2 linked regions of the Caenorhabditis elegans genome follow. The protein of the gene in region 2 purifies or fractionates together with the protein of the main gene of each other region. This does not show direct contact. Each region holds a gene or a part of one and is shown on either strand. Other genes may lie near its edges.

Evidence for each region. Proteins that work in one complex are often made in the same cells at the same time.
Region 1: the proteins of vpr-1 (region 2) and C35D10.6 fractionate together in Caenorhabditis elegans (co-fractionation; one large-scale study listed by BioGRID). This does not show direct contact.

The regions. Positions count from the first base shown.
Region 1 is NC_003281.10:4,857,687-4,861,284, forward strand, and holds C35D10.6 (NADP-dependent oxidoreductase domain-containing protein), read left to right. Parts: upstream 1-1,652; 5' UTR 1,653-1,657; coding exon 1,658-1,717; intron 1,718-1,765; coding exon 1,766-1,911; intron 1,912-2,249; coding exon 2,250-2,628; intron 2,629-2,670; coding exon 2,671-2,868; intron 2,869-2,919; coding exon 2,920-3,000; 3' UTR 3,001-3,086; downstream 3,087-3,598. Other genes in the region: C35D10.7 (ULP_PROTEASE domain-containing protein), read left to right, coding at 1-677, 853-1,005, 1,061-1,211, 1,405-1,451; C35D10.10 (Thioredoxin-related transmembrane protein 2 homolog), read right to left, coding at 3,157-3,316, 3,365-3,598.
Region 2 is NC_003279.8:5,867,759-5,871,850, forward strand, and holds vpr-1 (Major sperm protein), read right to left. Parts: upstream 2,197-4,092; 5' UTR 2,190-2,196; coding exon 2,015-2,189; intron 1,857-2,014; coding exon 1,571-1,856; intron 1,480-1,570; coding exon 1,332-1,479; intron 1,246-1,331; coding exon 1,117-1,245; 3' UTR 508-1,116; downstream 1-507. Other genes in the region: F33D11.10 (RNA helicase), read right to left, coding at 36-371.

The DNA.
Region 1 (3,598 bases), on a different chromosome or scaffold from region 2:
AGCTCGTAGCAATACCACCAATGAAAGCTAGAAACAGGAGGTCTTCACGCAATAGCTTGGTGTACATAGATGGTCCTTCTACTTCTGAAAGTCATTCTTCAATGGTTCAACAAGTTCCCATCATCGACAACATTCCCGAAGTGCTCGAAAATGAGACAGCTGTCTGTTCCATTTCTAGTGAAGCAGATCATAATTCGAGAGGAATCAAAGATAATCAAGAATTTGCAATTGAAATCAGTGGGGAAGTGTCTCGAACCGACGACATTTGTGATGACTTTGCCGTGTTCCTCAAAAAATGCACAGTACTATTGACGAAATTTATTGACTCCTACTATGATTTCCGTTCAACTATGAAACTTAAGCCAGAAGATGCCATTGAGCACTGGAGTGCTGAACGTTTGACCAAAGAGGAACACGCCGCGAGGGTCACAAGATTTGATGTGGCGATCGCTAGAGCGACACGTGTGCAGTATAACATCGATATCAAGCTTCTAACAAAGCAAAGTTTTGTGTTTGACGATGATCGTGAAGCTGCCATTAATAAGAGGCTCGCCCGAATCGAGCGTTTTGTGAACGAACAACATGAAGAAATCAATTGGTTTTGTTTTTCAAATTTTTCACTCATGGATATTGGAGAAACGAAGGATAGATATTGTCTCGGCGATTTTTATGACAAGGTATTACAACTTTTAAAATGTAAAATGGCCACGAAATACTGAATTTGATAACGAGACTGTTTCAAAAATTAATTTTTTTTTTTTTGAAGTCTTGTTGTAAAATTCGGTTTTTAGGGTCATTTTAACTATTGAAACAACACAAAAGTTTGATATATAATGTGTATTTTTTTCGCAGGCTATCAGTATGATTCCAAAAGTGAAAGATGTCCCGAGTGTGGTGCAACTGGCGAAAGAGTGTAAGATGTGGTCCGCATTTGAACGAATTCTCAAGCAATACAATTTTGAGCCGCTGAAAGTTTTTGAAGAATTGCAAAAAATGCTTGAAAAGGTACATTTCAGTTGTTCTGTTCGAATTTAAATGTTTACATAAAATTAATTTTCAGGATTATTTTCTACCGAAAGGTAAGATCTTCTGCCAATTCTTGCTCAATGTCGCCCAACTGTTTTCCTATGATGTCGTTAAGAATGAATGGTCTTGCATCAAACAAATCGACGGGACGTTGTTTTCGGGAGTCCCATTTGATCGCGATGGAAGTGAGTTGGCTGAAAATTATTGAAAAAAAATTAGAAAATTACATTTTTCATCTGAAAAATTGGAAAGTTAGTCTGAAATTCTGAAATATCACAAAAGAAATGCGAAAACGATAAATTTAAAAAAAATTAAAAATCCAAATTAAAAAAAAAACCGAAAACTTCAGATAATCATAATAATCTATGTATTTTTCAGATCTACTCCCCACTTCTCAAAATTCGCCGACCGAATGCTCTTCTTGATTGTGTCATTTTTCTCATTTTTCCATGTAACACATCTAATCATTTCATTTTCATCTTACCATTTTCATATTTTAAACTTGCTGCACAATACATTTTTCCTTTTAAAAATCGTTTTTTTTTTCAGTCTTTTTTGGTTTGAAGCCAACAGTTATTTATTTACTTTTAAACAATTATTTCAAGTGTAATTGTTTTGCTTTTCAGGATCAATGGAGCATCGTGAATATGTTAAGAACAACATGCCATTGATCGGAATTGGCACGTGGCAGGTATTGACTTCGAATAAATCAATTTTTTGACTAAAAAATAAATTTAAGGTTCAAAAAGAAGAAATTCTTCGTCAAGTGATTGATGCAGGTTTCAAAGAAGGATATCGATTCATTGATACGGCACAAGTCTATAACAATGAAGCTAAAATTGGTAGAATCTTGGAAAAATTGCTTCCAGCAAATGGGTTGAAGAGGTAGGTTTTAAAAAATTTATAATTGTTTCTAAATCTTTTTTTAATCCTGCGAGAAAAAACTGGTTTTGGTGTTTCTTTGATTTGAAACCCATTTTCTCTAATTTTCAGCAAATTGTTTCGCTAAAAATGTTTAAATTGAAAAATGAAAAAAAATTCGACAAATTATATTCTAAACCAATAATCAAAGCAAACATTTAAAAAAATTTAAACTAGGTTATTCATTCAATATTATGTAATTCAAATATAGTTCAGCCACTTTTAATCTACAAAATTGAGAAATAATTTTTAAAAATTCAATAAAACCACAGAGCCACCAATTGAAGCTATCTTTTTTTCAGAGAAGACATCTGGATCACGTCAAAGTTAGCCCCATCTAATGCTGGCGTTAAGAAAGCTCGGGAAAGCATTGAGGAGTCACTGAGCAATCTTAAAGTCGAATATTTGGATCTTTTGCTCATTCACTGGCCTGGAAGTTCCCTGAAAAGCGAAAATCCGGCAAACAAGAAACTGAGAGTGGAAAGTTGGAACGTTATGTGTGAAATGATGGCTGAAGGAAAATTGCGTTCAGTTGGGGTCTCTAATTTTGAGATTTGTCATTTGGAAGAATTGAAAAAAGATTCTAATGTTGTCCCAGCAGTCAATCAAGTTGAGTATCATCCTCATTTCCATCAGGACGATCTGGTCAAATACTGTAACGAAAATAACATTCATTTCCAGGTGGGATTTTTCTAAATCTCGCTCTCTTGAAGTTTTTTTCAGGCGTACAGTAGCCTTGGCAGCCCAACATATCGTAAACAATTATCCGAAGAACCTCTGATCAAAGAACTTGCTCAAAAGTACAATGTCGAGATTCCTGTGCTCCTTCTTGGATTTGCTTATTGCCAGGGAATTAGCGTACTTCCGAGAACTACAAATCCAGAGCATGTTGCTACCAATTTTAAAGTTACTAAGCTGGCGGTCTGTTTCTAGATGGTTTTTAGTCCTAATGTCTAAAATTGGGATTTACAGATTACTCAAGAAGACATCGATCGTTTATTGGCTTTGACTGTCGAACACAAAACTTGCTGGGATCCTCGCGTAGTGGTTTGATTTCCAAAATCATTTATCATTATAAATTTAAAGCTACAAATAATCCTCTATATTCTAAATAGATGTATAAATTTTAAATGCCGAGTTATTATTTCTTGTTGTTGAAAGATCTCGTGATTGAGTCGTATATGGAAATTTTGAGCTGTCATCGAATATTTAATCTTCTTTCTTCGCTTTCGCGCCTTTTTTCTCCTTCTGCTCATTGTACAAATTGAGAAGATCGAATGCAAGAACACAGTTCTCTTCACTGAACACAAATGGAACAGCACGACGACTATCGTTGACTAGTGGACGACGAGCGATTTCCTTTGCGTCCCTAGAAATTACAGATTGGTTGAAAATTAAAATAAAGCTTAAATCTTACTTGAATACACAAATAGTTGGTAACTGTCGTGACATTGGATGAGCATTCACACGGAACCGCTCGCCTTCTTTTGCCCATCTTCCAATATCCAATTTCCCAAACTTCATGTTTGGAAGTGTGAACTTTTGACTCAATTCCGCAAAAACGGGTGAAGTATGTCTGCATTCTGGGCTCCATGTTGTGAAGAATTGAATAACCCAGATGGTATTTCGATTTCTGGTAAGTTCTTCGAAA
Region 2 (4,092 bases):
TTTTTATTGCAACTCTGTATTTATTATATCCATACTTTTTGAATCTGGACAGCCAATTCTCTGGTTGGAGAAAGAATAAGTGCTTGTGTCTCTCGAACTTGTGTATCCAATGATTGAAGAACGGAAATTGAAAAAGTCGCAGTCTTTCCGGTTCCAGATTGAGCTTGAGCAATGACGTCACGTGCTTTAAGAATTGCTGGAACTGCTCTTTGTTGAATAGCCGATGGTTTTTCGAATCCATAGGCATAAATTCCACGAAGAAGGTCTTCTCGCAAACCCATTTTGTCAAATGTTGGAATAACATTTACTTCTTCAGAAGATTCGAATTCCACTGTTGCCATATCATCTTTTTCTGCTTTTTTACCAGCCATTTTGGAAAATCTGAAAAAAGATTAATTTTAAACATCACTCGAGTGACATTTTATTGTCGAGTCGCGTAAATTTCCAGGTAAATACTCCGAGATAATACGGCGAAAAAATTCAAAAATAAAAATAGTTATTGGAAACCATAAACATCAAATTTTATTGTACCATATACAAATCATGTGACTTAAATTGGTTGTTTCAAAGAGCATGGGGCTTTCTTAAAATCCATGGAGTCCTATATCAATCAATGGTTGTACACATAAAATAAATGAGAAAAGGTTGGGGGAACGGGGAACCATAGAATGGAAAATAAATAAATAAAATTCTTGATAATGGCTACCGGGTATGATGATAGGCAGTCACTAGACGGATCTATGATGGTCTAGAAGACGCCGGGAAAAACGGAAAACGAATAAACAAAGGAAAGAAGTGAAAGTAGTTTGAGAAAAAGTTTGAAATTTTTGCGCGCTGCGTTCACTAAAGAGGCAAGTATTCAAAATTTCAAAAAACCGAAAAGTTAAATATGTCAATTTACATTGCAGAAAATAACATTTTGATTTTTGAAATATTCAGAATTTCGCCCTTGGCAGAGAAAAAGTTAGAAAATTTAGGATTTGAAGGTTAAATTTGATGAAAATCCGAATGGAGCAATGCTTGTGTGTTTTAATGTTTGTGGCAGCAAAAAAGCACGTGAATGATAGTACCACTAGTTACTTAAAAGTGAAAATGAAGGAAGAATTGATTCAGAATTTAGAAAAGACGGCCAACAATAAGCCCGATGAGCAAAGCGGCAACCGCAATAAGGAAAATTTGCAATGTTGGGTATGCACCGTCGACAAGAGCTCCATCAGAATGCGATTGTTGAAGCTTGCGGTTCTTCTGAAAATATTTTTTGTAGAAAATTGAACACATATTTTTTTTTCCAAAGTGTAATTAATTTTTTCAAATTTCTTTTCTGATATTACCTTGAGCATGACTTCGATTTCTTGTTCCAATCCATGTACTTTCTTTTGCAATTCTTCTTTCTCGTCAACTGTCGATTTCAACGATTTGCGAAGGGAGTTAACGGTTCCATCATGCGATGGTGTTCCAGAGTACGAACTTCCGAGCTCTCTGCAAATATTAGTTTTTTATTGAATGAAGTTTATGAAGGAAACAATAATTGTTAACCTTCTTTTAACCTCCATTATAAGTAAAAACTCACTGTGCCTGTCCAGAAGAAGCAAAACTATCCTCGTTCCTAACCGCAAAGGTTTTTGTATCATCTCCAGACGCTGGATCTCTCTTGTCAACGAAGGTGACCATAAGCTTGCTGTAGGTCAGCTCCGCTGGATCGATTATTTTCCAGACCGATTCCAAATCTGGCAGATCTTCCGAAGGCGCCACACACGATTGAACCATAAACTTATGTCGTCCTGCATCAGATGGAATTCCTTCCAGAGGTTGAAGCATTACTGTGATTTGTTTCGAGTCACCAGATTTCAGGAGGCCTAAAAAATCAAAATCAGAAGGTCAAAGTAAACTTCAGTTTTAAAAATCAACCAGTCTAACAGATAAGGTCTAAATACAAATCATATTTTTCTTTTTGCGTTTAATTTCACTTTTTCCATATCAAATTGATTTCAATGCAAATAAATCCATCACTCACCAGAATTTGGACGAACACAATATTGCTTTGGAGCCGTTGTTTTCACTTTGAAGCACACTGGATTGGTTGATGTGTTCTTGAGAGTCATGTGTGATGTGACAACATCACTGAATGGGCCAGTGAACACGAGTTCACGATTTGGAGTCACTTGCAGAAGACTGTGCTTTTCAGACATTTTTTTGCTGAAAAAAAAAGTTAGTTCATATAAAATAATTATGTTAAAAAATAAAGATTGATAGGAAGTTTGGATCAAGGCGAAAGAATTAAAAATTGTTTTTTTTCTATTGGTATTTACGTACATCACAAAACCGAACACTAAACGAATATTTTTTCGATTTGCAATTTCGAAAAAGCTATAAAATGAAAAAGTCGCAGTGTATGTTCTAGCGTTATCAGTTTCTCTTGAGTTTTGGCCAGTGCTTAGTGCCTAGAGGCAAGCGTATTTGCTCTTGGCAAAACGAAAAACGAAAAAAAAATCGAAATCGTGTAGAAGTTATACAAATGCTTGTCTATCTTTCTAAATACAGTCTTCAATAATCTTGAATTTGAAATTTGAAAAAAATATGGACGAGTGTATTCAACACAGGTCATAAACAAAATTTAAACAGAAAGGCATCAAAAACGTTGTTCAGCCAGTAATTGAACGTTTGTCAATTGATAATCGGGGAGAGAAAAGTAGAGATGCAACTGATGGATGACCCGATACATGAAAAACACAACAAAAAAATAATATTATTTCCTATATTTTAACAACGAATAAGTCCAAAACTGCACAGTATTGAACAAAGGTTGAACCAATTCGAGAAAATAACAAATTATATTGAAAAATTATTCTGAAACGCTGTCAGATGACATGAATTCGGGTGAGACGTGGAGAGCGCACACGTTTTTCAAAAAATGTTGTCCTGAGAGATGCGTAAGAGATAATAGACGCAGAAGGAAAAGTGTATCTACGTCTCTTCCCTCTCGTTGACTTATAATTCGAGTGTGTGAGTGTACGTGTGAGCGATGTGTGTGTGTGCGTTTGGTAGGGGAGGACGAGTGTGAGCGAAAATGGCTGTCCTGGAGAAGGAGAAACACGTTGTTGGAGACGAAAGAGGCACCGAAAAAACACAAGCATCGTGAAGAAAAAACGATGGGATAAGAGAAGAAGATGGAATAAATTAGGATGAGATGTTTGCTGGTAGAATGTGCAAAATGCACTCAGAGAAGATTAAGCTAAGGCAGTTCTATGCAATAAAATCTTAATTTTTGTATTCCCCAGGAGCCTATAAATTAACCTCCAAGTCAAAACAACAGACAATTGAACCTTTTTTTGAAAAACGAGAAGAGCTGCAGTTTAGAAATGTTCGATATTTAAAATTTCACTCTGATTGAAATCATTATTTGAGCTCATTTATGAAAAAGATTGAGACGGAAATTGAAAAAGTTGAGTTAATAGCCTTATGCGTCAGCGGAAGATTTGATCCATATGAAGAATATTAACAAGTCGCAGTATGTATATCTGATGAAGCTAGAAACAGAAGACTTTTAGAATGAAAAAGACGTCCTCTTCTGCGTAAACAAAGTGCAAAGGACGGCGAATTTGAATGGAAGAGAGAGAGTGCAGACGCAATTAGAGCACCTCGGCTTGGTACTGCTTTAGACTTAGTTTCTCTGTTTTCCTGCCGTCCGGATGTGAGAACTCTCCATGACAACACAGATATTTCCCGTATCACACACTCATCGGAAACATAAGAGGGGGAGAAGGACAACTGGCTCCAACTATCAATCAATCGGGGTTATTTACACAATGATTTTTGTTCTTTTAATGTGCTAATAGAAGAAATATACACAAACACATGGAAGTAATATTGGGGAATTTGCACTTTTCTAGAAAATTAAAACTTGAAGTTTCAGGCTGAGCAAAAATAGCTCAAATAACTCGAAAAAAACTCAGTGAATAACTATTTTTATAACCAGGTTATAGACTAGGCGAAAAGGTACAGAGAGAAGAAAAGTCCGAATTTGTGAAAAATCCCTATTATTCACCAAAAAACAATCTATTTCACTTTTTAGGAGCTTCGACATGTATTGTA